Saccharomyces cerevisiae S288C: one gene and its partners. The gene in region 1 interacts genetically with each later gene. Each region holds a gene or a part of one and is shown in the gene's direction. Other genes may lie near its edges. The genes, in order: CAF40, CTK1, STB5 and CSF1.

Evidence for each region.
Region 2: mutations in CAF40 (region 1) and CTK1 together harm fitness more than expected from each alone (negative genetic interaction), as found in Saccharomyces cerevisiae (3 studies listed by BioGRID, with this or other methods).
Region 3: mutations in CAF40 (region 1) and STB5 together harm fitness more than expected from each alone (negative genetic interaction), as found in Saccharomyces cerevisiae (2 studies listed by BioGRID).
Region 4: mutations in CAF40 (region 1) and CSF1 together harm fitness less than expected from each alone (positive genetic interaction), as found in Saccharomyces cerevisiae (3 studies listed by BioGRID).

What each region holds. Positions count from the first base shown.
Region 1 is NC_001146.8:86,106-93,630, forward strand, and holds CAF40 (CCR4-NOT core subunit CAF40), read left to right. Parts: upstream 1-4,197; coding exon 4,198-5,319; downstream 5,320-7,525. Other genes in the region: RFC3 (replication factor C subunit 3), read left to right, coding at 113-1,135; PCL1 (Pcl1p), read left to right, coding at 1,792-2,631; SEC21 (coatomer subunit gamma), read left to right, coding at 5,889-7,525. UniProt on the Saccharomyces cerevisiae protein: Acts as a component of the CCR4-NOT core complex, which in the nucleus seems to be a general transcription factor, and in the cytoplasm the major mRNA deadenylase involved in mRNA turnover.
Region 2 is NC_001143.9:181,030-185,044, forward strand, and holds CTK1 (cyclin-dependent serine/threonine protein kinase CTK1), read left to right. Parts: upstream 1-1,928; coding exon 1,929-3,515; downstream 3,516-4,015. Other genes in the region: TGL1 (sterol esterase), read left to right, coding at 1-1,396; HSK3 (Hsk3p), read right to left, coding at 3,774-3,983. UniProt on the Saccharomyces cerevisiae protein: Catalytic subunit of the CTDK-I complex, which hyperphosphorylates the C-terminal heptapeptide repeat domain (CTD) of the largest RNA polymerase II subunit.
Region 3 is NC_001140.6:453,123-462,114, forward strand, and holds STB5 (Stb5p), read left to right. Parts: upstream 1-6,176; coding exon 6,177-8,408; downstream 8,409-8,992. Other genes in the region: CTR2 (low-affinity Cu transporter), read left to right, coding at 1-319; YHR175W-A (uncharacterized protein), read left to right, coding at 436-585; FMO1 (N,N-dimethylaniline monooxygenase), read left to right, coding at 1,107-2,405; ROF1 (Rof1p), read left to right, coding at 3,469-4,830. UniProt on the Saccharomyces cerevisiae protein: Binds to SIN3.
Region 4 is NC_001144.5:310,363-319,289, reverse strand, and holds the start of CSF1 (Csf1p), read left to right. Parts: upstream 1-3,558; coding exon 3,559-8,927. Other genes in the region: alanine transaminase ALT1, read left to right, coding at 1-1,053; GPI-anchor transamidase subunit GAA1, read right to left, coding at 1,339-3,183. UniProt on the Saccharomyces cerevisiae protein: Tube-forming lipid transport protein which provides phosphatidylethanolamine for glycosylphosphatidylinositol (GPI) anchor synthesis in the endoplasmic reticulum. Required for the glucose and other nutrients uptake at low temperature.

The sequences.
Region 1 (7,525 bases):
AGTACGCGATTTTGAAAGAAATGGAAAGAAGCTATAAAGAGCACAGGATAAATATCTTTTCAAAGCTTGAATAATTTTATAAAAGGTGTAGGAACAGGCCCGACATACAAGAATGTCGACAAGTACAGAGAAGAGGAGCAAAGAAAACCTTCCATGGGTTGAAAAATACAGACCCGAAACGTTGGACGAAGTGTACGGACAAAATGAGGTGATCACCACAGTTCGTAAATTTGTAGATGAAGGTAAATTGCCACATCTTCTATTCTATGGGCCTCCAGGTACCGGTAAAACTTCTACAATTGTTGCTTTGGCACGTGAGATATATGGTAAGAATTACTCGAACATGGTTTTGGAGCTGAATGCATCCGATGACAGAGGTATTGATGTGGTGAGGAATCAAATTAAAGACTTTGCCTCTACAAGACAAATCTTCTCTAAAGGGTTCAAGTTAATTATACTGGATGAAGCAGATGCCATGACCAATGCCGCACAAAATGCGTTGAGAAGAGTTATAGAACGGTACACCAAGAATACGCGGTTCTGTGTATTGGCCAATTATGCGCATAAACTTACACCTGCGTTATTGAGTAGGTGCACGAGATTCAGATTTCAGCCCTTGCCCCAAGAGGCCATTGAGCGTCGGATAGCCAACGTCTTGGTGCATGAGAAGCTGAAGTTGTCTCCTAATGCGGAGAAGGCCTTAATAGAACTTTCTAATGGGGATATGAGACGTGTGTTAAACGTTTTGCAGTCTTGCAAAGCTACTTTAGACAATCCCGACGAGGATGAGATCAGTGACGACGTTATCTATGAATGCTGTGGGGCACCCAGACCAAGTGACTTAAAGGCAGTATTGAAGTCGATACTGGAGGACGATTGGGGTACCGCCCACTACACACTTAATAAGGTACGCAGTGCCAAGGGTCTCGCGTTGATCGACCTAATCGAGGGCATAGTGAAGATACTGGAAGACTACGAACTTCAAAATGAGGAAACAAGAGTGCATTTGCTTACCAAACTGGCCGATATAGAGTACTCGATATCCAAGGGTGGCAACGACCAGATTCAGGGCAGCGCGGTCATTGGCGCCATCAAGGCCAGCTTCGAGAACGAAACTGTTAAAGCCAACGTATAATCGACGCAAATATGTATAGATACAATATGTACAGAACAACTGCATTGTGCAATATAACAACATAACACAACGCCCAGAACGAAATAAAAAAAATAAAAGAAATAGATGAAAGCATTTTCAATTTGCATACCGGAAACCGTAAATCAATTGGCGTCTAGCTAACAACTGAGAATGCGAATCGCCAAATTGTTACAGAAAGTAGCATTCCGTTACGTGATCTGTACTTTAACCTCTTGGACGTAAAGAATGGCAGAACTCTGGCTCTAGTGTTCTGCGAATGCCAGATCGGGAAATATTTCCCAAAAGGGCAACAGCGGCACGAACAAGAATTTCGTGTTAAAAATCGCGTCCGGCGCGAAATTTTTCGCGGAGGCATGCGACGCAAAAGCGACTCGAAATGTCGGGAGCCAAATGAGGCTACAAGGCTGTGGGCAGATTTTGGCGTTATTATGGAGAATAAAAGGAATGGTAGCTTCCATATAGCGATAGGAAAACATATATAAGGTCAATAGGCCTACATGGTAATGGGATTGATAAGCTTGTCCTTAACTCTTGTGTCTTGGAATTACTATTGCGTACATCAGCAATCATCCATTGTCAAGAACAAAAACGATAACAAAAACAATCAATTATACAAATAACAGTAAAGTAATAAAATGTGTGAATACAGCAAGGCTCTTCATATTCTGCTCAAGTCGCCAGTAACGGATGACATAATAAAATTCTTAACAGACACAACATTGAGGGTTGTTCCTTCAAGCAACTACCCCACGCCTCCCGGTTCTCCAGGAGAGAAACACCTCACAAGGCTGCCATCGCTAATGACTTTTATCACTAGATTGGTCAGATACACCAACGTCTACACACCCACTCTGCTCACCGCTGCGTGCTATTTGAACAAATTAAAGCGTATTCTGCCCAGGGACGCTACTGGTCTCCCCTCGACCATCCATCGCATTTTCTTGGCCTGTTTGATACTGAGTGCTAAGTTTCACAATGACTCTTCTCCTTTAAACAAGCACTGGGCTAGGTACACCGATGGTCTCTTTACACTAGAGGATATCAACCTTATGGAAAGGCAGTTGTTACAGCTGTTGAACTGGGACCTCAGGGTGAACACAGAAGATTTGATCCTAGATCTGCAGCCTCTATTAGAGCCCATCAAGCAAGACTTGGCAAGATCCAGCGACCAAAGGAAGAGAATTAACATGATGATGTCCATGAACAGAAGGACTTGTGCTGGCACGAGTCCTATCAGATCAAACAACAGATTCAAACTCTACGAAAAACAGAGAAACGTGTCGATAGCATCCGATTTAAGTTCTGCTACTCTAGTCGACAGTTGTAATGATCTAAGAAGGCTAAAAGATGTAACCAACATAGCGAACAACACAGTCGCTAACACGAATTACGTCAGGACGGTAGAGAAATGGAACGACAATGTCAACAGGCAAAGTTGGGATCTGGAACAGATCATGAGTCAACATGGGTTTTAATGTGGTAAACAAGATGGCCCTTACGGGGCTCTTAGTGGGAGAAAGATTTTTAATAGAGCATAATTAACGGATACATAATATATTATAAATTTAAATAATCAAGGATACCTAATAATAATAACAATCAACTGAACACAACATTAAAAATGGTATTTGTTATTGTATGTTAAGCCCTAAGTGATTGTGCCGTTATAACTTCCATTCGGGTGATACCTGCAATATGAGGAAGAAAAAAGATAAATTTTTTCTTCTTAAAGTATAAAAGGCGGACATATTTGATTTAAATGCAGAAGTTTTCTCTCAGTGGTTTATGTTTTACATATGATAGAAAAAATGAAGCAATAGCAAAGTATCGTAGTGCGAACCGGTCTCGTAACTTTGATAAGTTTATCAAAGGCGTTAACATTTTGTTTCGTAATAGTACCTTAACACATGACGAAGATGAAAATTAAACATGAATTCAAGGAAAAATGGTAAATGACGAGAAAAAAGCTGTGCACCAGTCTGAACATGGATGCCACAAGTACTCAGGTGTCCTATGAAGCATTAAGTATACCCAAATTTCTGATCCATTTTCCTTTATTTTCTTTTTTTTTTTTCTCTCACATCTGTGACTGTATTATGAGCAAACTGTTTACGTTGAACGGAATCGATATGTAAATTAAATCTTTTGAAATATGTAGGACAGTGCTTGTATAGGTCTGTTAAGTAGATTATAGAATGTACGCCTTTTTTCTGGGCGTGAAATAGATCAGAAATCCTGTTAGGTTGCCACTGGTCCATTTCAGTGTTGCTCATCCAATCAATCATGTATTTACATGCCTGGAGTGGCCTATTCTATGTATTAACAGCCTTTGCAAGACGCGACATTGTTCTTTCCGATATGGCTCGGAGTAGACTAAATATGCTACTTATAGTTTTTCTTGCGTATACCATTGTCTTATAGTTTTTGCACACATTAATGTTTAAAATTGAAACTACGAAGCAAAACAATAAAAAAAACAAACAAAACTTAAAAATAAACAAAAGACGCTCGAAACCAAGTGCATTTATTGAATGTTTTTGGGAATGCAAGTAGCAATACTATTGTAAAAGTACTACTATTTCCCTGTATCATACGCTTTTACTACTATTCCTCACATAAAGCGAGATGCTTACAGAATGCATAAGAGAGAGAAGAAAACCCTATTACGCCCACTTGTCTATATTAGATTACTGTCCCTATTTATATCATCATTGCAAAACGTGAGCACCTCATTAGACGTAGATTCTTGCATAAGTATTACTAGCAGGAGAGGAAAAACTCCACCCACACACCTCAACATGCTGAGAATTTTGCTGCGAGCAGCAAGAGGCAAAATCCAAATTTAAAGTAATTTACGCATAGAAGACATTGTAAAGGGATTGCAAAGACGTAGAGTACGCAAGTTAGAAACCGTTCATCTTTTAAAACTCCCAAGTTTTGACAAATTTGCGAGTGTGTGTGTTTCTGCTGATCTTGACGAGATTAAACTTTGTTCCTGAAGCAACAACGACAGCAACTGAACATCCTCTGAATAAGTTAATATGTTTTCCGCTCAAAAGCCAATATATGGCAATGGAGCAGGCGTGAACATGGGTGGTGGTGGTCCTTCAACTAATAATCCAGGATCTATGTCCATGCCTGGGGTTCCAACTTCAATGGGTCCAGGCATGAATCAACAAATTCCAAGTGGAGGCCCCATGCTAATGGGCAATACTCCGAATAATAATAATAGCAATGAAAATGGCGAGAACAACGGCAATAACGGCAATAACGGCGGTAACGATGCTAACGCAACTCGAAACAATCCCAACATGGTCAATAATAGAGGCGCAGTGCATGCTCTAGATGATCCCAATGTATACCACTGGATTTGTCAATTGACCTACGGCCCTCAAAAGGAACAAGCACTGCTTGAATTAGGTCGCAAAAGAGAACAGTTTGATGACCTTGCCGTTGTGCTTTGGTCTTCCTTTGGTGTAATGACCTCATTGCTGAACGAAATCATTTCCGTATATCCCATGCTGCAACCTCAGATGCTCTCTAACAATCTATCAAATCGTGTATGCAACGCTCTAGTTCTTCTACAGTGTGTTGCATCTCACCCAGAGACAAAACATCTCTTTTTACAGGCCCATATTCCTCTCTTTCTTTTCCCCTTCCTAAATACTACCTCCAGGCAAAGAACTTTTGAGTACTTGAGATTGACTTCATTAGGTGTGATAGGCGCATTGGTCAAAAATGACTCACAAGACGTAATAACGTTTTTGCTAAGAACCGATATCGTGCCGTTATGCCTAAGGATCATGGAATCTTCTTCTGAGCTTTCCAAGACAGTCGCCATTTTCATTTTACAGAAAATCCTACTAGATGACGTTGGATTGCAATACATCTGTGCCACCTTGGAAAGGTTCTACGCCGTAACTAATGTCTTAAAAGATATGGTTGAGCACTTGACCGTGAGCACACCACCGGGACGACTACTGAAACATATCATTAGATGCTACTTAAGATTAAGCGACGATCTCGAAGCACGCAGGCTATTGAAAATAGTCTTACCTGCCAAACTGAGAGATAACACTTTTACGGAAGTACTAAGAGACGACGTCGGGTCCAAGAGATGTCTGGCACAATTGCTACTGACATTAAACGAAGAAACCTCATGATGCATCCCCATAGATATATTACTGTTTTTCTCTTTCTATTTTCCTGTATTGTTTTAACCTTGCCTTTTTGTTTTAGTTTCACTTCCTCACCTCTCCTAATTTTGTATAGTTATATTTATATGCATGAAATGTATAAAGTCCACTCATATTTCAGAATGGTTTAAGTTAAGTGCCAGAAGGTTCTTCTGTACTATTACTATTACCCATTTTTCATCCTATCACCCGGAATGTACCCCTTGTGTCATTCACTACGACGCCACGAACCACGATTCTATTTTTTTCGAAATCTAAAGGTTTCGTCAAGATCAATGAAATATACATAGGCGTTTTTTTGGATACGAGTTGCATTGTTGAGAACACAATTCTTTACAAATAAGTGCAAGGGAGGAATTGTGTGTGCTCATTACCAACGTACTTCTTCAGTTATTCTGCTAAACCCGTTTTTTTGTTCTTAGCTTCATCCAGGTGAGCCCGCAAACATTACAGAACGACGTATAATACAAAATAACTAAACAAATACGGATAGGACAAAAGCCAAGAAGCGATACTAAATCACAGAGCGAATCAACATGTCTGCACATACTTACAAAAAGTTTGAAAACTCGACCTCGGGCGATTTACCTGATAAAATGACCATTTATCAGGATTGTATGAACACGTTTAACGAATCACCTGTCAATTCCAAGAGATGTCGTTTATTGATTTCTCGCTTGCTGAGACTCTTGGCCCAGGGCGAAACCTTCCCACAGAATGAAGCAACTGCATTATTTTTCTCTATCTCCAAATTATTTCAACACCAGAACGATCCTTTAAGGCAGGCTGTTTATTTGGCAATCAAGGAATTGAGTGGCATTTCGGAGGATGTGTTGATGGCAACCTCTTCAATCATGAAGGACGTTCAAAACGGTTCCGATTTGATTAAGCCTGACGCTATTAGATCGCTGACTTATGTCTTGGATGAATCTACTGCTTTTTCCGCTGAAAGGTTATTAAAAAGTGCCGTGGTAAGTAGACATCCTTCAATATCCTCAGCAGCATTATGTACTTCTTATCATTTGCTGCCCATTTCAGAAGTCACTATCAGAAGATTCACCAATGAAACTCAAGAAGCTGTTTTGGATTTGAAACAATTTCCAAATCAACACGGTAATAGCGAATATTATCCAAACTCCACTTATATTTCTCAATATCATGCTCTTGGGTTGCTTTATCAACTGAAGAAAACTGATAAAATGGCGTTACTAAAATTGGTTAGACATTTCTCTGAAAACAATTCTATGAAAAATCAATTGGCCAAGGTAGAATTGGTCAAGATTGTCAACGATTTGATTTATAGGGATCCTCAATTATTTAGTCAATTCAGGCCACTTTTGTCTGATTGGCTATCCAACAAGTTCGAATCTGTTCAGTTGGAAACGGCGAAATTGATTACTTCTTTCGCTACTCGCAATTCCCGCTTAGTGGCTCCCGAGTTATATGCGGCAGCTATCAGTGCTTTACAGTCCTTACTGACCGTTCCTCGTGTTTCTTCTAGATTCGCTGCATTGAGAATCTTAAATAGAATATCCATGGTTTCACCAGAAAAGATTGTTGTTTGTAATCCTGAACTAGAATCTTTAATTAATGATTCTAATAGAAACATTTCTACTTATGCAATCACCACTTTATTGAAGACAGGAACTTCCAAAAATATTTCATCTCTGATTTCGACTATTACTAATTTTATCCATGATGTCAGTGATGACTTTAAGATCATTATTATTGACGCCGTTCGTACGTTGTCTTTGAACTTCCCACAGGAATGGAAGTCAATTTTGAACTTCTTAATCGATGTTTTGAAAAATAGTGAAGGTGGATTCAAATTTAAAAACAGTATTGTCGAAGCATTAATCGATATTGTTTCATTTGTTCCACAGTCTAAAGAACTCGCCTTAGAAAACTTGTGTGATTTCATCGAGGATTGTGAATTCAACGAAATACTAGTGAGAATACTACATCTTTTGGGTAAAGAAGGTCCATCTGCCCCAAATCCATCATTATATGTTAGACATATTTATAACAGAGTGGTGTTGGAAAATTCTATTATTAGATCTGCTGCCGTTGTAGCTTTATCTAAGTTTGCTTTGACGAAGAACGATCCTACCTTATATGAGTCAATCATAAGTTTGTTAAAGAGAATCGCTAATGATAAAGACGATGAAGTCAG
Region 2 (4,015 bases), on another chromosome or scaffold:
TGAAGACAATTATATCTTGACACTGCATAGAATCCCACCGATTTCTAAAAACAGATTTAACAATAAAGTGGTATACTTACATCACGGTCTTTTGATGTGTTCTGATGTTTGGTGTTGCAATATTGAAAGACATAAAAACTTACCGTTTGTATTGCATGATTTAGGTTACGACGTCTGGATGGGAAATAATAGAGGTAATAAATATTCAACTGCCCACTTGAACAAACCACCAAAATCGAACAAGTTTTGGGATTTTTCTATCGACGAATTTGCGTTCTTTGACATTCCAAACTCAATTGAATTCATCTTAGATATAACAAAAGTGGACAAGGTCATCTGCATCGGATTCTCTCAAGGCTCTGCTCAAATGTTTGCTGCATTTTCGTTGAGTGAAAAATTGAATCGAAAAGTCTCCCATTTTATAGCCATAGCACCCGCTATGACTCCAAAGGGGTTGCACAACAGAATTGTCGATACCTTGGCCAAATCATCGCCCGGCTTTATGTATCTTTTCTTTGGTAGGAAAATTGTGTTACCTTCAGCTGTCATTTGGCAAAGAACTTTACATCCAACACTTTTCAATTTGTGTATCGATATCGCAAACAAGATACTGTTCAATTGGAAGTCGTTTAACATTCTACCGAGACAAAAGATTGCTTCTTACGCAAAACTTTATTCAACGACCAGTGTAAAATCCATTGTTCACTGGTTCCAAATATTAAGATCTCAGAAATTTCAAATGTTTGAAGAGTCTGATAACATGCTAAATTCCTTAACTAGGCCTTACCAAATTGCTAATTTTCCTACTAGAACAAATATCAAGATTCCCATTCTTTTAATTTATGGTGGCATAGATTCTTTAGTTGATATTGATGTGATGAAAAAAAATCTACCCTTCAACTCCGTCTTTGATGTTAAAGTTGACAATTATGAACACCTGGATTTGATTTGGGGCAAAGATGCCGATACCTTGGTCATTGCTAAAGTCTTGAGGTTTATTGAATTTTTTAACCCTGGTAATGTTTCAGTGAAGACTAACCAGTTACTACCATCAGCAAGTCTGGTTGAGGAATTACCAAGCACGACATGGAAGACAACTCATCCAACGCATGGTCTCAGTTATAGAACTCACTCGGCAGACCGTTCTCCGTTGTCTGTACAAGCTGATGAAGCGGATGAGGTCCACAATGCTGACAATTCAAGGTTCTTAAGACGAGTGTTTTCTACTAGTGCCATAGACGAGGACAACGAAAATGAGCACCAGGATGATACAGAAGATCAAATCCATAAGGAGCAGCAAAGACGGTTAAGTGCCTATCTGGAATCATCCAAAGATTTACGACAACTAGATGCCAACTCTTCGACAACTGCGCTGGATGCTCTAAATAAAGAATGAAAAGAATGCGAGAGAAACCCTATTAAACTATTTTTTGTCTAGGATAATAATATTAGCGCTAATCTAAAAATCGATGAACTAAAGAAAGAATATACGTACGTTTTATACACAATAAATGGATTTCATAAGAAGTCCTTAATATCCTCATGCTTGTGGATACTGGAAATTAGTAAAGTAATTAACTTCCTTTTAGCATTATTCTTATTTGGCTTAAAAAGGTCACGTGAAGCTCTATTTTTTTCGTTTTTTTTTTTCACTGATGGAAGAGAAAAACCTCTACATAATAAGGTAACTTTACATATTGATTGCCAATGAGATGTTAAAAAATGGACGGTTCAGACAGTAAAATACATTTAGAAAAAAAGAGAAGGTCTTATCAGTGTATTTATTCACTGTGCATATTAGCTTTTTTTGGACTTTTTTTGTTCCATTAGTACTTTTAAAAAACCTATTTGTAAATAAAACTAATTCTAGCACTATTCTTTGCACTAGAATAACACAGGGACCATACAGCATAAATTATTTGGTAACAATGTCCTACAATAATGGCAATACTTATTCAAAGAGTTATAGCAGAAATAATAAGAGACCCTTGTTCGGAAAGAGGTCGCCAAATCCTCAGTCCCTAGCGAGACCACCGCCACCAAAGAGAATACGGACTGATAGTGGTTACCAGTCGAATATGGACAATATATCTTCTCATAGGGTAAATTCAAATGACCAACCAGGCCACACGAAAAGTCGTGGTAACAATAATTTATCTCGCTATAACGATACATCCTTTCAAACAAGTTCCAGATATCAAGGTTCAAGATACAACAATAATAATACGTCGTATGAAAATAGGCCTAAAAGCATAAAAAGGGATGAAACAAAGGCTGAATTCCTGTCTCATTTGCCAAAGGGGCCCAAATCTGTTGAGAAATCAAGATATAATAATTCATCCAATACTAGTAATGATATAAAAAATGGCTATCATGCTTCAAAATACTATAACCACAAAGGCCAGGAAGGGCGGTCTGTCATAGCTAAGAAAGTTCCAGTTTCGGTTCTAACGCAGCAAAGGAGCACGTCAGTTTACCTAAGGATAATGCAAGTCGGAGAAGGAACATATGGTAAAGTTTACAAGGCAAAAAACACGAATACAGAGAAGTTAGTAGCGCTGAAAAAATTGAGATTACAAGGAGAGAGGGAAGGCTTTCCCATAACCTCTATACGAGAGATTAAACTACTACAAAGTTTTGATCATCCAAATGTCTCTACTATAAAAGAAATAATGGTCGAATCTCAAAAAACTGTATATATGATATTTGAATATGCTGACAACGACTTAAGTGGATTACTATTAAATAAGGAAGTCCAAATTTCTCACTCACAATGCAAACATCTCTTCAAACAATTGCTATTAGGAATGGAATATTTACATGATAATAAGATTTTACACCGTGATGTTAAAGGCTCAAACATCTTAATCGATAACCAGGGGAATCTAAAAATAACAGATTTTGGACTAGCGAGGAAAATGAATTCGCGAGCTGATTACACTAACCGTGTCATTACGTTGTGGTACAGACCACCAGAACTATTGTTGGGAACTACAAATTATGGAACAGAAGTTGACATGTGGGGTTGTGGCTGCCTCCTGGTGGAATTATTCAATAAAACTGCAATTTTCCAGGGCTCTAATGAATTAGAGCAAATAGAATCAATTTTCAAGATTATGGGAACTCCTACAATAAATAGCTGGCCAACGCTTTACGATATGCCGTGGTTTTTTATGATTATGCCACAGCAAACTACCAAGTATGTCAACAATTTTTCTGAGAAATTTAAAAGCGTTTTACCATCTTCAAAATGTCTGCAATTGGCGATTAATTTGTTATGTTATGATCAGACGAAAAGGTTTAGTGCAACCGAAGCTTTACAAAGCGACTATTTCAAGGAAGAACCAAAGCCTGAACCTTTAGTTCTTGATGGATTGGTAAGTTGCCACGAATATGAAGTCAAATTGGCAAGAAAACAAAAGCGTCCTAACATACTATCCACCAACACAAACAATAAGGGTAATGGTAATAGTAATAATAATAATAATAATAATAATGACGATGATGATAAATAAGGATATATAGCCAATTGAAATAAGTAGACACAAAAAATAGATTAATAACTTATTTATTACGCGATACCCGTAAATATGATACGAACATCTAATTTCATGTGAAGCGGCCTAGTGAATAGAAGGTTTGCCTATTTTCACTCGTTCACTATACGTAACTTGGTTGTCTTTTTATGCAAGCTGTTTGTCCATCGTACCAACACCATCTCATTTCACATCTTATAAATTAGCCTGGCCACTAACTGTCTTACCTCTTATGCCTTATTGCGTTTTTCCAAGCATCTGCTCCATATAATAAATGTAACTACCTATCAACCAACTTCCATGTACCTTACCCAATTGGCCTACCAAGTTTTCGTTACATTGTTTCGACATGATATCTAGTTGTTTTGTCGTTTCCTGTAAATTCGTTTGAAGCTCTCTAAGTTCGTGTGCAAGCTGATTATACTGCCTTTGTTTGTTAGCGTTCATTCTCTTGCCTGAAATTCTTTGTGTCCTCTTCG
Region 3 (8,992 bases), on another chromosome or scaffold:
ACTGATTTTAAGTTGTTTAGCAATTTTTGGTCTAGCCTACCTCTATGAGTACTTAAAGTACTGTGTCCATAAGAGACAATTATCCCAGAGAGTATTGTTACCAAATAGATCTCTGACCAAGATCAACCAAGCCGACAAAGTGTCCAATAGTATTCTATATGGTTTGCAAGTGGGATTCTCATTCATGCTCATGCTTGTATTCATGACTTATAATGGTTGGTTAATGTTAGCTGTCGTGTGTGGGGCAATATGGGGTAATTACAGCTGGTGTACTTCGTATAGTCCTGAGATAGATGACAGCTCCCTCGCCTGCCATTAAGATGGTGACAAATATTACAAATTTGATACTATTTGTATCTATTTTGTTTTTATCCGGGATTTTTCGTATTTCTTCCTCATTCATACCCTTCCCTTTATTTGTTCCCACTGAGTATAATGATAAACTACGTTAACATTACATGTATAATATTTAGCACTCGTACGTTACTAGTCTTTGACACAAGTTTATATATCCCCCCCTTTATGTTATCGTTTATTGGCTACAGCCTCAGTAATCAAAATAGTCCACTATTTCTATATCATTAACTTCTGCGTCGCCAAGATGTTAATCATGAAACGATCTAGTTCTTCAACAGTTTGCCAGCGACCATTCGAGCTAATCTTGAACAAAAGTAATACTATTTAAGGGTGGGCGCGGGTTGTTATACCGTTTTGAGACGATCTACTATAACGTTATATTTAATTATATAAGTGATGAATTTAATGTCCCGTCCACAACACGAAATCGCACCTCATTTCAACGCGGCAAGTATTAATGTTCTGCTTTATGAAAGATTCCATGAACCCTTTTCTACCTTTTAAATTCCTCTTTTCACTCTTAATCACATGATATTACCTTTACATAGGAAGCGCCAGACATCTTTTTGCCGAGAAAAGCCATTATGCAAGATAATCCTGTAGCCTCATATCAAGGATAAATGCCACTGCAAAAACGCAGTCGTTATTTGGGACTGTATTTAAATGGGCCACTGTTTTTATACAAGTCGAAAATACAATAATACAGAAAATTCAAGCAGGAAGCGAGAAATAACAAGAAGTAACTAGGCATGACAGTGAATGACAAAAAAAGATTGGCAATCATAGGTGGGGGGCCAGGAGGGTTGGCAGCTGCAAGAGTTTTCTCGCAAAGTCTTCCAAATTTTGAAATAGAAATATTTGTAAAGGATTACGATATTGGCGGTGTCTGGCATTATCCAGAACAAAAAAGTGATGGGAGGGTCATGTATGACCATTTGGAAACCAATATATCAAAGAAGTTAATGCAGTTTAGCGGCTTTCCCTTCGAGGAAAACGTCCCTTTATATCCGTCTCGAAGAAACATTTGGGAATACTTGAAAGCCTATTACAAAACGTTCATTGCCAACAAAGATGCTATCAGCATCCATTTCAGCACCGAAGTTACCTACTTAAAGAAGAAGAACTCTCAATGGGAGATAACATCTAAAGACGAACTAAGGACTACTAAATCGGATTTTGACTTCGTTATTGTTGCGTCTGGTCACTACAGTGTCCCTAAACTACCAACTAATATCGCAGGTCTCGATCTATGGTTCGACAATAAGGGCGCCTTTCATTCTAAGGATTTCAAAAACTGCGAGTTTGCCCGTGAAAAAGTCGTTATTGTGGTGGGAAACGGCAGTTCCGGCCAAGATATTGCCAACCAACTAACTACCGTTGCAAAGAAAGTATATAATAGTATAAAAGAGCCTGCGAGCAATCAACTGAAGGCCAAGTTAATCGAGACTGTCCAAACAATAGACAGTGCCGATTGGAAAAATCGTTCAGTTACTTTATCTGATGGAAGAGTACTTCAGAATATAGACTACATTATTTTCGCCACAGGCTATTATTACAGCTTTCCATTTATAGAGCCCTCCGTTAGACTGGAAGTGCTAGGTGAGGGTGTTACTGGCGACAAGCACTCGTCTGTCAATCTGCACAATTTGTGGGAGCACATGATCTATGTAAAAGATCCTACGCTGTCCTTTATCTTGACCCCGCAGTTGGTCATCCCGTTCCCGTTGTCGGAACTACAGGCGGCTATTATGGTCGAAGTATTCTGTAAAAGCTTACCGATAACTACAACTTTCGACTCTAATGCCTGCGGAACGCACAACTTCCCAAAGGGAAAGGACCTGGAATACTATGCAGAACTACAGGAACTACTGAATAGCATTCCACGTAGGGTCGGTCATTTCGAACCAGTTGTATGGGATGATAGACTGATCGATCTAAGAAACAGTAGTTATACAGACAAAGAAGAAAGAAATGTGCTTCTAGCGGAACACGCACAAGCCCTAAAGAAAAAAAAAGCACCATACTTCCTTCCGGCGCCACATACTTAACGTAAAAAGGAATGTACTTGTATAGAAAAAACACATATTGTGCCGCTTAATATTTCGTTTCCCTCATGTATATACCTTATCGCTGTTAAAATAAGAAATCTTCACTTCTGCTATCTTTTTTTTTCAAACATTGATTAATAATCCGGCCGTCCGCAGATTGCTTACGCAGAATATACCGTACCGCCACCGTAAAATTAACGAATACTTAAATTTCCGCCTCTTCCGTTTCGGCAATAGCGAACCTTAATGTAAGTTTTTAAAAGGCAGCGCCAAAAATTGCTCTGAAAGGCCTGCAGTGCTTCGCGGCTACGCAGTTCCCATGTAAAAAAAAAAGAAAACTTTCTTTTTGAATCTGGAAAATCCGCACAGGCGCGCCAGCATAAACCTCAGTATCCTGCAAAGGCCATCCTTTTAAAGATCTTAACAACGTATGAATCTGAGGCAGAGAGAAATTAAGCGATAAACGTTCCTTTTAGACTTTCACTTTCTTGGCCGTCATTTAAAAAAAAATTATCTAATAATCTCTAATTTTAAGTTGAAATCACGCTAACATATGACTATGACTATTAACCTTTTTATGTGGAAAAAAAAGGAAGAATATGTTGTAAACGTATTTTAGCCTTGTTCCCGGAACTTTAATCACTCTGGCAACTTTTTAAGTAGTCTGTCTTTTTCTCGGTCGTATATTCCTCAAAATTCAAGAGGAAAGAGGAAGTGAAGAAGAAAGCCTAGAAAAAAAAAATAGGCATTAACACAAAAACGCACCTAAGGGACTGAGGAAAATCAAAAAAATGATAATTGCAGTTAGTAAATCTTCATAATCGACGCCCACTTATTCTTTCTTTATAGTACCGGGTAGGCGGGTAATTCATACGTAGCTGCTGCGGGAGAACTACTATGTATCATTCCCTGTTTATTTGTATGAATTATTATTTAATACGTACATTCTTGTAAGCCCTTCTTCAACAAAACAAACAAATAAAGCGAGAAAAAAGGGAACCACGAATTAAGATAATTAATCAAACAATAGATAGGAAAAGGAGATCGACGAGTAAGCGTAAGAATGATGGATATCAGCCCTACCTGTTATGGGTACATCGACGACGAGCAAGATCTAGCCCTTGTTTTCCAGGGCGTATTCAATGGAAATTTGAGATGCATCGAACGGAGGCCATATGATGCAGAAAAGGTTGAATTAGTCAACCCCGGAAACATTTTTGTTTTCAACGAAGAGAAATCCGGCATCAAAAGATGGACAGATGGTTTTTCTTGGTCTCCTTCAAGAATTTCAGGCAAATTTCTCGTATATAGAGAGTATAATAGGCTGGGTTCCACGCACGATCTACCGCTGCATAATGTACCTGAGTATAATATCTTCGAGAGGGCTCATAGGAAGTATTTTTATACTGGACTACTGAAAAAAACATTTTCTCTAAAATTCAATATGGATCCCACCGACAGCACTAAGCTGGAAACATTTCATCTTATTGCGTACTATACGGAAAAGGATATTCATCAAGGAAGTTTGAGGAGACCTTCAGAAAATCCTTTCTTCCATAAATTTCGACCTTCACAGAAACTATTAGATGCTTTACAAAAAGTTGCTGTAGGAAATGGCAGATCTAACCCGTCTAAAAATAATGAGAGAGGCAGAACCAAAGCTCATAATTATAAAACGCGCAGGTCTTTATCATCTTCTCCGAGCTATTGTGATCTCTTGAGCAATTATAACAACCATCCTGGAAATATTCCAGTTAGGACCGCAGTTCAGTTACCTTTAACCACCTTCAATAACGCTCCTCGAGAAATGCACCAACAGCAGCACCGACAACAGCAACAATATCTCTTACCCATAGATGAACAGAATAAATTACCTCTCCCGTATATGCAGCACCAGCCACAACCAATTGGTGTTTACAATCCTAACTATCAGCCTGGATTGAGACGTACGGTCTCACAACCTATGATTTTCTGCAATACATACAATACTCTCCCGCAACAACCTACTGCAGCACCTTATGAACGGCGTGGCGTGTCGCCTTCAGTGATATACTCCTCCAATACATTGAGCCCAATACCATACCAAAATATCGATCCATACTCTTCGAGGTCGGGTCCTGAATGCAATCACTCTAAGGCGCCTATCGCCCCAACAATGATGCCCCCAGTACACCATATACTTGTGCATGATTACCGACAACCAAAACCAGTCACAGATTCTATTAATCCTCCAAATGTAAACATAACCACCTCCACAACCAACAAGAACCTAGATGGCATTTATATTTTGCCAGCTCCTCGTATGAATCCCCCGGCTCAAACACAATACCAAATGATTCATGCGCCAGACAGCATGCAACATCCACCAACATTTAGTAAAAACAACACATCAAGCAATCCTAAATCCCACCAATACTCAAAGTAGAAGATCAGCATCCTTTCAATTGCTGAAAGGTTCACCTAAAGTACCGCTCATATTCCAAAAGGATTCTTCACTACATAGAAAGGGCAGCCAATTGTGTGTTTTTCAGAAAGGGTTTTAAAAAAACAGGAGGGTGCTTGTTCTTGTTGTTCCCTACCATCGATGGATTTCGAAAAACTATTTATAGGACCATCTGATTTTCACCTCCATCATTGTATCATATACTAACAAGCATATCCAAATTTGTAATTCTATCATGAAATTTCCAGAGAAAGAAACGCAAGGGAACTGAGAAATCAAACCTAAAAACGGTTCTTGGCATTGTTATGAAAAATGAATAAACCAGGGGGGCAAAACAATCGAGAACCCCAATCAAAACCATGTGAGATACCCACTTCGAAAGTTACTGATATTATAACTCTTGTGTCCTCTCTTCTAATACCTTACTTTCACCTTTCTCACGTAGTTAAAGTTGCAACAACACATTTTGTCCTCATCCAATTTCTTCTATAGAATATCCGTTTGCCTCCAGGAGTGAAGAAATGATAGCAGTAACACTGTGAAAGCGAGACTAAGAGAAACGACTTAAAGCTCGAAGACTTCTTGAGGATACGTTTATGTTTCTGTGGCTTCTTCTTCGCGGCGCGGTTCTCGCGTATAGGAATGTTCTAAGACAAGAAGGCATGAAGTTATGTTAACAGATTCTATATCTACTCGCTACGCATATATAAACGGATTCATCATTGAAACAATGGTACTTGTGGTAATGTGTACGACGATTTCAACCCGAATAAAAGCAAAAGTGCAAAAAAAAAACAAGAAGCGCTTAGCACTGTTGAATCATTTAGAACACTACTAATGCTGGTAATACACTCAAGAATGAAGAGTGGCTTACTCCATTGTTGATGCAAAAGTTGTAAATTTCACGAATTATTTAATGCGTTCCTTGCAACCTTCTATTTTGATGAACATCAGGAATTGAAACAAAAAAAAGGCTTCAATCTCAACGGAAAACGGGAAGAAAACTACACTCGATTATACTATATATGCCAAGAAGATTCTCCGACAGATTGTCTACTTAATTTCACATAATATATCTTGTTTTACTAGCTTATTATATAGCGTCGCATTTAATTCATGGCGCCATCACCCGCAGGGAATATAACGACAAGGCCGATACCACGGGAAAAATAGGGCGAGCGGAAATACTAAAAGAAAAATAAGCTTCCGAAATAAAACACCGACAATGAAGTTCTTGGCAAGGTTCGGTTATTTCCTCTACGTAACAAGAGGTATAATATCCGAGCGTACAGGGCTAAAAAATTAATACAAAGGTGTAAAAGAAGGACATGGATGGTCCCAATTTTGCACATCAAGGCGGGAGATCACAACGTACTACTGAATTGTATTCGTGCGCACGATGCAGAAAATTAAAGAAGAAGTGTGGTAAACAAATACCGACATGTGCAAACTGCGATAAAAATGGGGCACACTGTTCATATCCAGGTAGAGCCCCAAGACGTACCAAGAAGGAGTTAGCGGATGCTATGCTACGAGGGGAATATGTTCCAGTGAAAAGGAACAAGAAGGTAGGAAAAAGCCCATTGAGCACTAAGAGCATGCCAAACTCTTCTAGTCCGCTATCCGCAAATGGCGCTATAACTCCCGGGTTTTCGCCTTACGAAAACGATGATGCACATAAGATGAAACAGCTAAAACCGTCAGATCCAATAAATCTTGTCATGGGGGCAAGTCCAAATTCTAGCGAAGGTGTCTCATCGCTAATTTCGGTGCTAACATCGCTGAATGATAATTCTAATCCTTCTTCGCACTTATCCTCTAATGAAAATTCCATGATTCCTTCCCGATCATTGCCAGCTTCCGTGCAGCAAAGTTCGACAACTTCATCATTCGGAGGATATAACACGCCTTCACCACTAATTAGCAGTCATGTGCCTGCGAACGCCCAAGCCGTACCGCTACAAAACAACAATCGCAATACTAGCAACGGGGATAACGGCAGTAATGTTAACCACGATAATAACAATGGCAGTACCAACACACCGCAATTGAGTCTTACCCCATATGCAAACAATTCAGCCCCCAATGGGAAATTCGATTCTGTGCCGGTTGATGCATCCTCGATCGAATTTGAAACTATGTCCTGTTGCTTTAAAGGTGGTAGAACAACATCGTGGGTCAGAGAGGATGGCTCGTTCAAGTCAATTGATAGATCCTTACTGGACAGGTTCATTGCCGCATACTTCAAACACAATCACCGTCTATTTCCCATGATTGATAAAATAGCATTCCTAAATGACGCCGCGACAATTACTGATTTCGAAAGGTTATATGACAACAAAAACTACCCTGACAGCTTTGTTTTCAAAGTATACATGATCATGGCTATTGGTTGTACAACTTTACAGCGTGCTGGTATGGTTTCTCAGGACGAAGAGTGTCTGAGTGAACATTTGGCTTTTTTGGCCATGAAAAAATTTCGTAGTGTTATAATTTTACAAGATATCGAAACTGTACGATGCCTATTGTTGTTGGGTATTTATTCGTTTTTTGAGCCAAAGGGCTCCTCGTCATGGACAATTAGTGGTATCATCATGCGATTGACCATAGGATTAGGTTTAAATAGAGAGTTAACTGCCAAAAAACTCAAGAGCATGTCTGCTTTAGAAGCAGAGGCAAGATATAGAGTGTTTTGGAGTGCTTACTGCTTTGAAAGGCTAGTATGCACCTCGTTGGGCCGTATATCCGGGATCGACGACGAAGACATCACTGTGCCACTACCGAGGGCGTTGTATGTGGATGAAAGAGACGATTTAGAGATGACCAAGTTGATGATATCATTAAGGAAAATGGGCGGTCGCATTTATAAACAAGTCCACTCTGTAAGTGCAGGGCGACAAAAGTTAACCATCGAACAAAAGCAGGAAATCATAAGTGGATTACGCAAGGAGCTAGACGAAATTTATTCTCGAGAATCAGAAAGAAGGAAACTGAAAAAATCTCAAATGGATCAGGTGGAGAGGGAGAACAATTCTACTACAAATGTAATATCCTTCCATAGTTCTGAGATTTGGCTAGCAATGAGATACTCCCAGTTGCAAATCTTACTATACAGACCATCTGCATTGATGCCAAAACCGCCCATTGACTCACTATCCACTCTAGGAGAGTTTTGCTTGCAAGCCTGGAAACATACTTATACACTGTACAAGAAGCGGTTATTACCCTTGAACTGGATAACCCTTTTCAGAACATTAACCATTTGTAACACTATCTTATACTGTCTTTGCCAGTGGAGCATCGACCTCATTGAAAGTAAAATCGAAATTCAACAGTGTGTGGAAATACTAAGACATTTCGGTGAAAGATGGATTTTTGCTATGAGATGCGCGGATGTTTTCCAAAACATTAGCAACACAATTCTCGATATTAGTTTAAGCCATGGTAAAGTTCCTAATATGGACCAATTAACAAGAGAGTTATTTGGCGCCAGCGATTCATATCAAGACATATTAGACGAAAACAATGTTGACGTCTCTTGGGTTGATAAACTTGTATGACATATGTTCACCGAGTTTTGTCATGTCGTCATACTATACGGCAGCGGCTTGTTGCTGCCGTTTAATGAAACAGTTTTTTTCACGACAAGATTCTTCTATTGATTATTCACATATGTATTTTAATGAAAAATGAGTACTTTATAACACAACCCTAATGACAAATGAAAAAGTTGATTGCCATGAACTCTTAAAGCGATTTATGAGAACAATTAATTGATTATATATATATATCTTTGCAATTATGTCGTTTGTTGCAAGATGCTTCTGAAAGTAAGTAACTCTATAAGATAGATAATGCTACAAGACGCCAAACGCAAGTGAGTAAGAAATAAGAGCTGGCAGGTCTTCGCCGGAACACTATCATCAAAATCACTACAATTTAGCGGCTTAGCACAATACGCGTTTTCAACTTCCTACGCTAGCGATGACAAAATGTCTCCAAGAGGCGGAACTTGCGACGGATGCATGGAAATATCTTACGTAATGAACTTCCGTAATGAACTTCCGTAATTCAAGATCTCTTAGCATCTCTTGTTCAATCTTCAGACTCTACTAAGTGTTCTTACCAACCATTGGATGCTCAT
Region 4 (8,927 bases), on another chromosome or scaffold:
GAAGGCGAGATATCATACCCAGAGGATATTTTCCTAACTGCTGGTGCATCCGCAGCTGTCAATTACTTGTTATCAATTTTCTGTAGAGGGCCAGAAACGGGTGTCTTGATTCCAATTCCTCAATATCCATTATATACCGCTACTCTAGCTTTGAACAATTCTCAAGCTTTACCATACTATTTAGATGAGAATTCAGGTTGGTCAACTAATCCAGAAGAAATTGAAACTGTCGTCAAAGAGGCTATACAGAACGAAATCAAACCTACAGTTCTAGTGGTTATCAATCCAGGTAATCCTACAGGAGCTGTCCTATCACCTGAGTCTATAGCTCAGATTTTTGAAGTCGCAGCCAAGTACGGTACAGTAGTGATAGCTGACGAAGTTTATCAAGAAAATATCTTCCCGGGCACCAAGTTCCATTCTATGAAGAAAATTTTGAGACATTTACAGAGGGAACATCCAGGTAAATTCGATAATGTTCAGCTAGCTTCTTTGCATTCGACTTCTAAGGGTGTTTCTGGTGAATGTGGTCAAAGGGGTGGCTACATGGAACTCACTGGATTCAGCCATGAGATGAGACAAGTTATCTTGAAACTAGCCTCGATTTCATTGTGTCCCGTTGTCACAGGTCAAGCTTTGGTTGATTTGATGGTTCGTCCACCAGTGGAAGGGGAGGAATCATTCGAGTCGGACCAAGCAGAACGTAACTCCATCCATGAAAAGTTAATTACAAGAGCAATGACACTGTATGAGACATTTAACTCTTTAGAAGGCATTGAATGTCAAAAGCCTCAAGGTGCCATGTATTTATTCCCTAAGATAGACTTACCTTTCAAGGCAGTTCAAGAAGCTCGCCACTTAGAGTTAACTCCGGATGAATTTTATTGTAAGAAGTTGTTAGAATCTACTGGCATTTGCACTGTTCCCGGTTCTGGGTTTGGTCAAGAACCTGGTACTTACCATTTAAGAACAACATTTTTGGCACCTGGTCTGGAATGGATTAAGAAATGGGAAAGTTTCCATAAAGAATTTTTTGACCAATACCGTGACTGAATAAAAGGGGGCAGAACAGTCTTCAATAAACATTTAAATAGCTAGTTTATTATAATAATGTGATCGTTTCTTTCTTCCACAACTCACATATAGTTATTTGATATTATCGCATCTTCGCTTCTCTATGCCATGTTTCCATCAATACTTATGTTTTATTTAATACATATTTGTATCAGTATATCATATCATTTCATCTTCTTTTGCTTCGATTTGTAATGTTTGTGCGTATAAAATCAATTGCGTAGTTCGAACACCCGTTAATCCTTTACTTCTTACCAATGGCACCTAACTTTGCTTTTCTTTCGACCTTACTACGACAGATTTAGATTCAAACGATGACGCTAATATCAATAGCCAACATGGAAGCCAACCTATACAAAGTACAAACCAACTCCAACATTTCAAATCCAACCATGCTGAAACCAGTTTGTTTATTATATCAAATCCATGAAATTCATCATCAAAAAATAGTCCGAATAAGGTTATTGAAATAAATGGATTTGTCAAAATTAATAGTACTAAATTTTTTAGTTTTTGTTTCTGTTGTTGGGGGGTTGCTGGCGTTGTATCCATGTGATTCTCGACGAGCTCTATCTCATCTTTCGGCTCAGTTTTTATTGGGTTAGAGGATTGAGTTGTCACCTCATGTTCGCTAGAACTTTCAACAATGGTCTTCACAAATGTCATAGGAAATGCCAATGTGCCGATCAGTAAAGCCATTGCAAAGTTTATCATTAGCAAAGATGTTGAAACCAAACTGAAATATAAAAAAGCAACATTTTTCAACCTGTATGATAGTGGTTCTGAGATGTGAATTTTTCTGGAAAGTATCAAAGGTAAAAAACAAGATGCCATGCTAATTGTCATCAATAATCCCGATGAAGGTATTAGAAGAAACGCTTGTGAAACAACAAATGATATCACCAATGACACGAACCAAACCAACAACGCTACCAAATTATACTCGGAAAATAAGGATATATTTGCATAAGCATTGTTTATAAATGCATTTAATGAACTTATGGCGAATGCTATAGATAAAGCCACAGCGCTTGGCAAATAACTACTAATGGATACGAACTGACGTGGTGCTAATAACAAATAAAAGAAGAACGATTGGTGAAATTTTTCCAAAAGGTTATTAATAGAGCGAAACATTGCTTCGGGTATACGTCCAAATGTAGTAATATCATGACCACTGTTTCCATGTGCTTTCAATGTTACAGATTGAATCCTCCAGCCGCTAAATGCCTCGTTACCATGGGGCTTTTTAACACCGGACAACGCCCAATCCCTTATTCCCAGGCATAATATTTTTAATCTTGACCAGAAATTATTATTAGTTAACTGATCACTGGGTAGACCGTGCAAAGAAACTTTCATACCTTCATGTTCCGTAATGGATATAGCGATGTTGACAAGATCCAAATTGGGCAGCTCACCATTCAGACCGTCGTATGAGATTTCTACATACTCGAAGAAATCTTCCGTACTCGAATAATCCAACACAACAGCAGCTTCAATGGAACCACCAGTCAAATCTAAGGAAGTATGGTATGCCTCAACCCATGATCTTAATGCTGCACGAGGATTTTCGCTGAAGACAACAATTATATTCTTGGACCATACTGGCCAACGTGAGAAAAATCTTGCTAAAGATACACCCAAAGCTGCGCCGCCAATATTGAATTCATCATCTGAATTAAACCATGGAACGGCAAGCACCATCGCTTCTGTTCCATCACCCCTAGGAGCGTGCATTACACCGTACAATGTTTCTCCATATTGTTCATTTTCGTAAATAGCAGTCTTAGTACCAAATTCTTGTAACCAAGAACCCATCAAATTGTTTCTTTCCATAGAAGTCATGTTTACCATTTCTTTAATTTGAGATCGATAGCCCCTCAAAATGTTCCATTCAGATTCTCTAAAGTAACTATACGCTTGTGAAGGCATCAATGCATTCTCAGAAATGTATGTTCTTCTGTACTGTCCATCCATAGGCAGAATAGCTATAGAAATAAACCCAAATAGAGCGCATAGCATGGAAATAACTGGTAATAAGGCGATTATACGCGGGACAAGCCCCATATCAACAATCCTTCGATGCAACTTCTCCAATAAGGCCATTCTTGGTGTATTATACGCGTCTTTGGTCTGTCAAGTCCTTTTATAAGACAGCAAATGTCATTTCTTTCTAAGTGTAGCCGGCGTGTATTGTTTATGACTTTTTTTTCTACCGCTGGCATTAAAGTGAGAGGTTCACGATGCGTTCCCAATAACTTCGTAGGGATGGCGATCAATATACAAATAGAGGGAAGCCAAACTCCCCACTATAAAGCTGTTGGCACGGTTTTATAAGCTTCAACCTTTCTAGGCTACAGGATACTCAAAAAAAATTACTGCGGTATTATCAACATAGTGCTCTTTGGAAAAAAAAAAAGAATAGTACTCATTAAAGCCACCTGACTCAAGTCTTCTATTGACGGTAATAAGTTAGCAAGCATGGAAGCTATTTCACAATTACGTGGTGTTCCATTGACACACCAAAAGGACTTTAGCTGGGTCTTTTTAGTAGATTGGATTCTCACGGTAGTAGTATGTTTGACAATGATATTCTACATGGGAAGAATCTATGCATACCTTGTAAGTTTTATATTAGAATGGCTACTATGGAAACGAGCGAAAATCAAGATAAATGTTGAGACACTTCGTGTCTCCTTACTAGGTGGTCGAATACATTTTAAAAACCTTTCCGTAATACACAAAGATTATACAATTTCGGTATTAGAGGGTAGTTTAACATGGAAATACTGGCTTTTAAATTGCAGAAAAGCAGAATTGATAGAGAATAACAAGTCTTCTTCTGGCAAAAAAGCAAAGCTTCCCTGTAAAATTTCCGTAGAATGTGAAGGTCTAGAAATTTTTATTTACAACAGAACAGTGGCGTACGATAATGTTATAAACTTACTATCAAAAGATGAACGCGATAAATTTGAAAAATACCTTAATGAGCATTCTTTTCCTGAACCTTTTAGCGATGGAAGTAGTGCTGATAAATTAGATGAAGATCTAAGCGAATCTGCATACACAACGAACTCTGATGCATCAATTGTTAATGACAGGGACTACCAAGAAACAGATATCGGCAAACATCCAAAGCTACTGATGTTTTTACCAATTGAGCTTAAATTTAGCCGCGGTTCCCTACTGTTAGGAAACAAATTCACGCCATCTGTTATGATTCTAAGTTATGAAAGTGGAAAAGGCATAATAGATGTTTTACCTCCAAAAGAGCGATTAGATTTATACAGAAATAAAACACAGATGGAATTCAAAAACTTCGAAATTTCTATCAAACAAAATATTGGTTACGATGATGCTATTGGATTGAAGTTTAAAATAGATAGAGGGAAAGTGTCAAAGTTATGGAAAACGTTTGTACGAGTCTTTCAGATAGTAACCAAGCCTGTTGTACCGAAAAAGACTAAAAAAAGCGCAGGCACATCAGATGACAATTTCTATCATAAATGGAAAGGTTTATCTCTTTATAAGGCTTCTGCGGGCGACGCTAAAGCAAGTGATTTAGATGATGTTGAGTTCGATTTGACGAACCATGAATATGCTAAATTTACATCAATTTTAAAATGCCCAAAGGTCACAATTGCATATGACGTGGATGTTCCGGGCGTTGTGCCACATGGTGCACATCCGACAATACCTGATATTGATGGACCAGATGTGGGCAATAACGGAGCACCTCCAGATTTTGCTTTAGATGTTCAAATTCACGGAGGATCCATCTGTTACGGACCTTGGGCTCAAAGACAAGTCAGTCATCTACAAAGAGTTCTATCACCGGTAGTTTCAAGGACAGCCAAACCTATAAAAAAACTCCCGCCAGGTTCTAGAAGAATATATACACTTTTCAGGATGAATATATCAATAATGGAAGATACTACTTGGCGTATACCGACGAGGGAAAGTAGCAAAGACCCCGAATTTTTGAAACACTACAAAGAAACTAATGAAGAATATAGGCCATTTGGATGGATGGATCTCCGATTTTGTAAGGACACCTATGCAAATTTCAATATAAGTGTTTGTCCTACAGTGCAAGGTTTTCAGAATAATTTCCATGTTCATTTCCTGGAAACCGAAATTAGGTCAAGTGTTAATCACGATATTTTGTTAAAAAGCAAGGTATTCGATATTGATGGGGATATTGGATATCCATTGGGTTGGAATAGCAAAGCTATATGGATAATTAACATGAAGTCAGAACAATTAGAGGCGTTTCTGCTACGTGAGCATATAACTTTAGTTGCAGATACGCTTTCAGACTTTTCCGCTGGTGATCCTACGCCTTACGAACTTTTTAGACCATTCGTATACAAAGTCAATTGGGAAATGGAAGGATATTCCATTTACTTAAACGTCAATGATCACAATATTGTTAACAATCCGTTAGATTTTAACGAAAACTGTTATTTATCCCTTCATGGTGATAAGCTTTCAATTGATGTCACGGTACCCCGTGAGAGTATTTTGGGGACATACACAGATATGTCCTACGAGATCTCAACTCCAATGTTCAGAATGATGTTAAATACCCCCCCTTGGAATACATTGAACGAATTCATGAAACATAAAGAAGTGGGGAGAGCATACGACTTTACAATTAAAGGTTCTTACCTTCTCTATTCCGAGTTAGATATTGATAATGTCGATACGCTAGTCATAGAGTGTAACAGCAAGAGTACAGTACTTCACTGCTATGGGTTTGTCATGAGGTATTTAACAAACGTAAAGATGAATTACTTCGGTGAATTTTTTAATTTTGTGACGTCAGAAGAGTACACAGGTGTCCTTGGCGCTAGGGAAGTCGGAGATGTCACTACGAAAAGCTCGGTGGCAGATTTGGCATCTACTGTAGATTCAGGGTACCAAAATAGCAGTCTAAAGAACGAATCTGAGGATAAAGGTCCTATGAAAAGGTCAGATTTGAAAAGGACTACCAACGAAACTGATATTTGGTTCACATTTTCGGTTTGGGATGGTGCTCTGATATTACCAGAAACGATTTACAGTTTTGATCCATGCATTGCACTACATTTTGCCGAACTTGTAGTGGATTTCAGAAGTTGTAATTATTATATGGACATAATGGCGGTTCTCAACGGGACTTCAATAAAGCGGCACGTTTCAAAACAAATAAATGAAGTATTTGATTTTATACGTCGTAATAACGGAGCTGATGAGCAAGAGCACGGATTGCTTTCGGACCTCACCATTCATGGACATAGAATGTATGGATTACCACCCACAGAACCTACCTACTTTTGTCAATGGGATATCAATCTCGGAGATTTATGCATTGATTCAGATATTGAATTTATAAAGGGATTCTTTAATTCCTTTTATAAGATAGGTTTTGGCTACAATGACTTGGAAAATATATTATTATATGACACTGAGACCATTAATGATATGACCTCGCTAACCGTGCACGTTGAAAAAATAAGAATAGGCCTTAAAGATCCGGTGATGAAATCTCAATCAGTTATTAGTGCTGAATCGATATTGTTTACTTTGATCGACTTTGAAAACGAAAAATATTCACAAAGAATAGACGTGAAAATTCCAAAATTGACAATTTCGTTAAATTGCGTGATGGGCGATGGCGTAGACACATCATTTCTCAAATTCGAAACAAAATTAAGATTTACAAACTTTGAGCAATACAAGGATATCGATAAAAAAAGATCAGAACAACGCAGATATATAACAATACACGATTCACCCTATCATAGGTGTCCTTTTCTTCTTCCGCTGTTCTATCAGGATTCGGATACATACCAAAACCTGTACGGGGCTATAGCACCATCTTCGTCTATCCCAACTTTACCTCTTCCCACTTTGCCTGATACTATAGATTATATCATTGAAGATATTGTGGGCGAGTATGCTACCCTTCTGGAGACCACAAATCCATTCAAGAACATATTCGCAGAAACTCCATCAACTATGGAGCCTTCAAGAGCCAGCTTCAGTGAAGATGATAATGACGAAGAAGCGGACCCTTCAAGCTTCAAACCTGTCGCTTTTACAGAAGACAGAAACCACGAAAGGGATAACTATGTTGTTGATGTTTCATATATTCTGTTGGATGTCGACCCGTTGCTTTTTATTTTCGCTAAGAGTTTATTAGAACAGCTTTACTCTGAAAACATGGTACAAGTCTTAGACGATATTGAAATTGGGATTGTGAAACGATTAAGCAACCTTCAAGAAGGGATCACTTCTATTTCAAACATTGATATCCATATTGCTTATCTAAATTTAATCTGGCAAGAGACAGGTGAGGAAGGTTTTGAGCTCTATTTAGATCGTATTGATTATCAAATGAGTGAAAAGTCTCTAGAGAAGAACCGAACAAATAAATTATTAGAAGTAGCAGCTTTAGCAAAGGTAAAAACTGTCAGAGTGACTGTTAACCAGAAGAAAAATCCAGACTTGTCTGAAGATCGTCCCCCTGCACTGTCGCTAGGGATTGAGGGTTTCGAAGTATGGTCTTCTACAGAAGATAGACAAGTTAACTCATTAAACTTAACGTCATCAGATATTACCATAGACGAATCTCAAATGGAATGGCTGTTTGAGTACTGTAGTGACCAGGGAAATCTTATTCAAGAGGTTTGCACTTCTTTTAATTCTATTCAGAACACCAGAAGTAATTCAAAGACAGAACTCATTTCAAAGCTCACAGCCGCAAGCGAATATTATCAAATTAGTCATGATCCTTACGTCATAACAAAACCTGCTTTTATTATGAGACTTTCCAAAGGGCATGTGCGTGAGAATCGTAGTTGGAAAATTATTACGCGTCTGAGACACATTTTAACGTACCTTCCTGATGATTGGCAAAGCAACATCGACGAAGTGCTAAAAGAAAAGAAATATACCTCTGCTAAAGATGCAAAAAATATCTTCATGTCTGTGTTTTCGACTTGGAGAAATTGGGAGTTCTCAGATGTTGCAAGGTCGTATATATACGGCAAATTATTCACGGCAGAAAATGAGAAACATAAACAAAATTTGATTAAAAAATTGTTGAAGTGTACCATGGGATCATTTTACCTTACTGTTTATGGTGAGGGATATGAGGTTGAGCATAATTTTGTTGTTGCGGATGCCAATCTGGTAGTGGATTTGACGCCTCCGGTGACAAGCTTACCTTCAAATCGAGAAGAAACTATTGAAATTACGGGAAGAGTAGGCTCAGTAAAAGGAAAATTCAGTGATAGGTTACTTAAATTGCAAGATCTTATTCCACTCATTGCAGCAGTGGGCGAAGATGACAAAAGTGATCCAAAAAAGGAGTTATCAAAGCAATTCAAAATGAACACCGTTTTATTAGTGGATAAAAGTGAACTGCAACTGGTCATGGACCAAACGAAGCTGATGAGTAGAACAGTTGGGGGTAGAGTTAGTTTACTATGGGAAAATCTAAAAGATTCAACTAGTCAAGCGGGTTCATTGGTTATATTTTCCCAGAAATCGGAAGTGTGGTTAAAACACACATCTGTCATTTTGGGAGAAGCTCAACTGCGCGACTTTTCAGTTTTAGCGACTACTGAGGCATGGTCACACAAGCCTACGATTCTGATAAACAACCAGTGCGCAGATCTTCATTTTAGAGCAATGAGTTCAACTGAGCAATTAGTAACCGCTATTACTGAAATTAGGGAAAGTCTGATGATGATTAAAGAGCGCATAAAGTTTAAACCTAAATCAAAGAAAAAGTCCCAATTTGTCGACCAGAAAATTAATACAGTCTTGTCATGTTATTTTTCAAACGTTAGTTCTGAAGT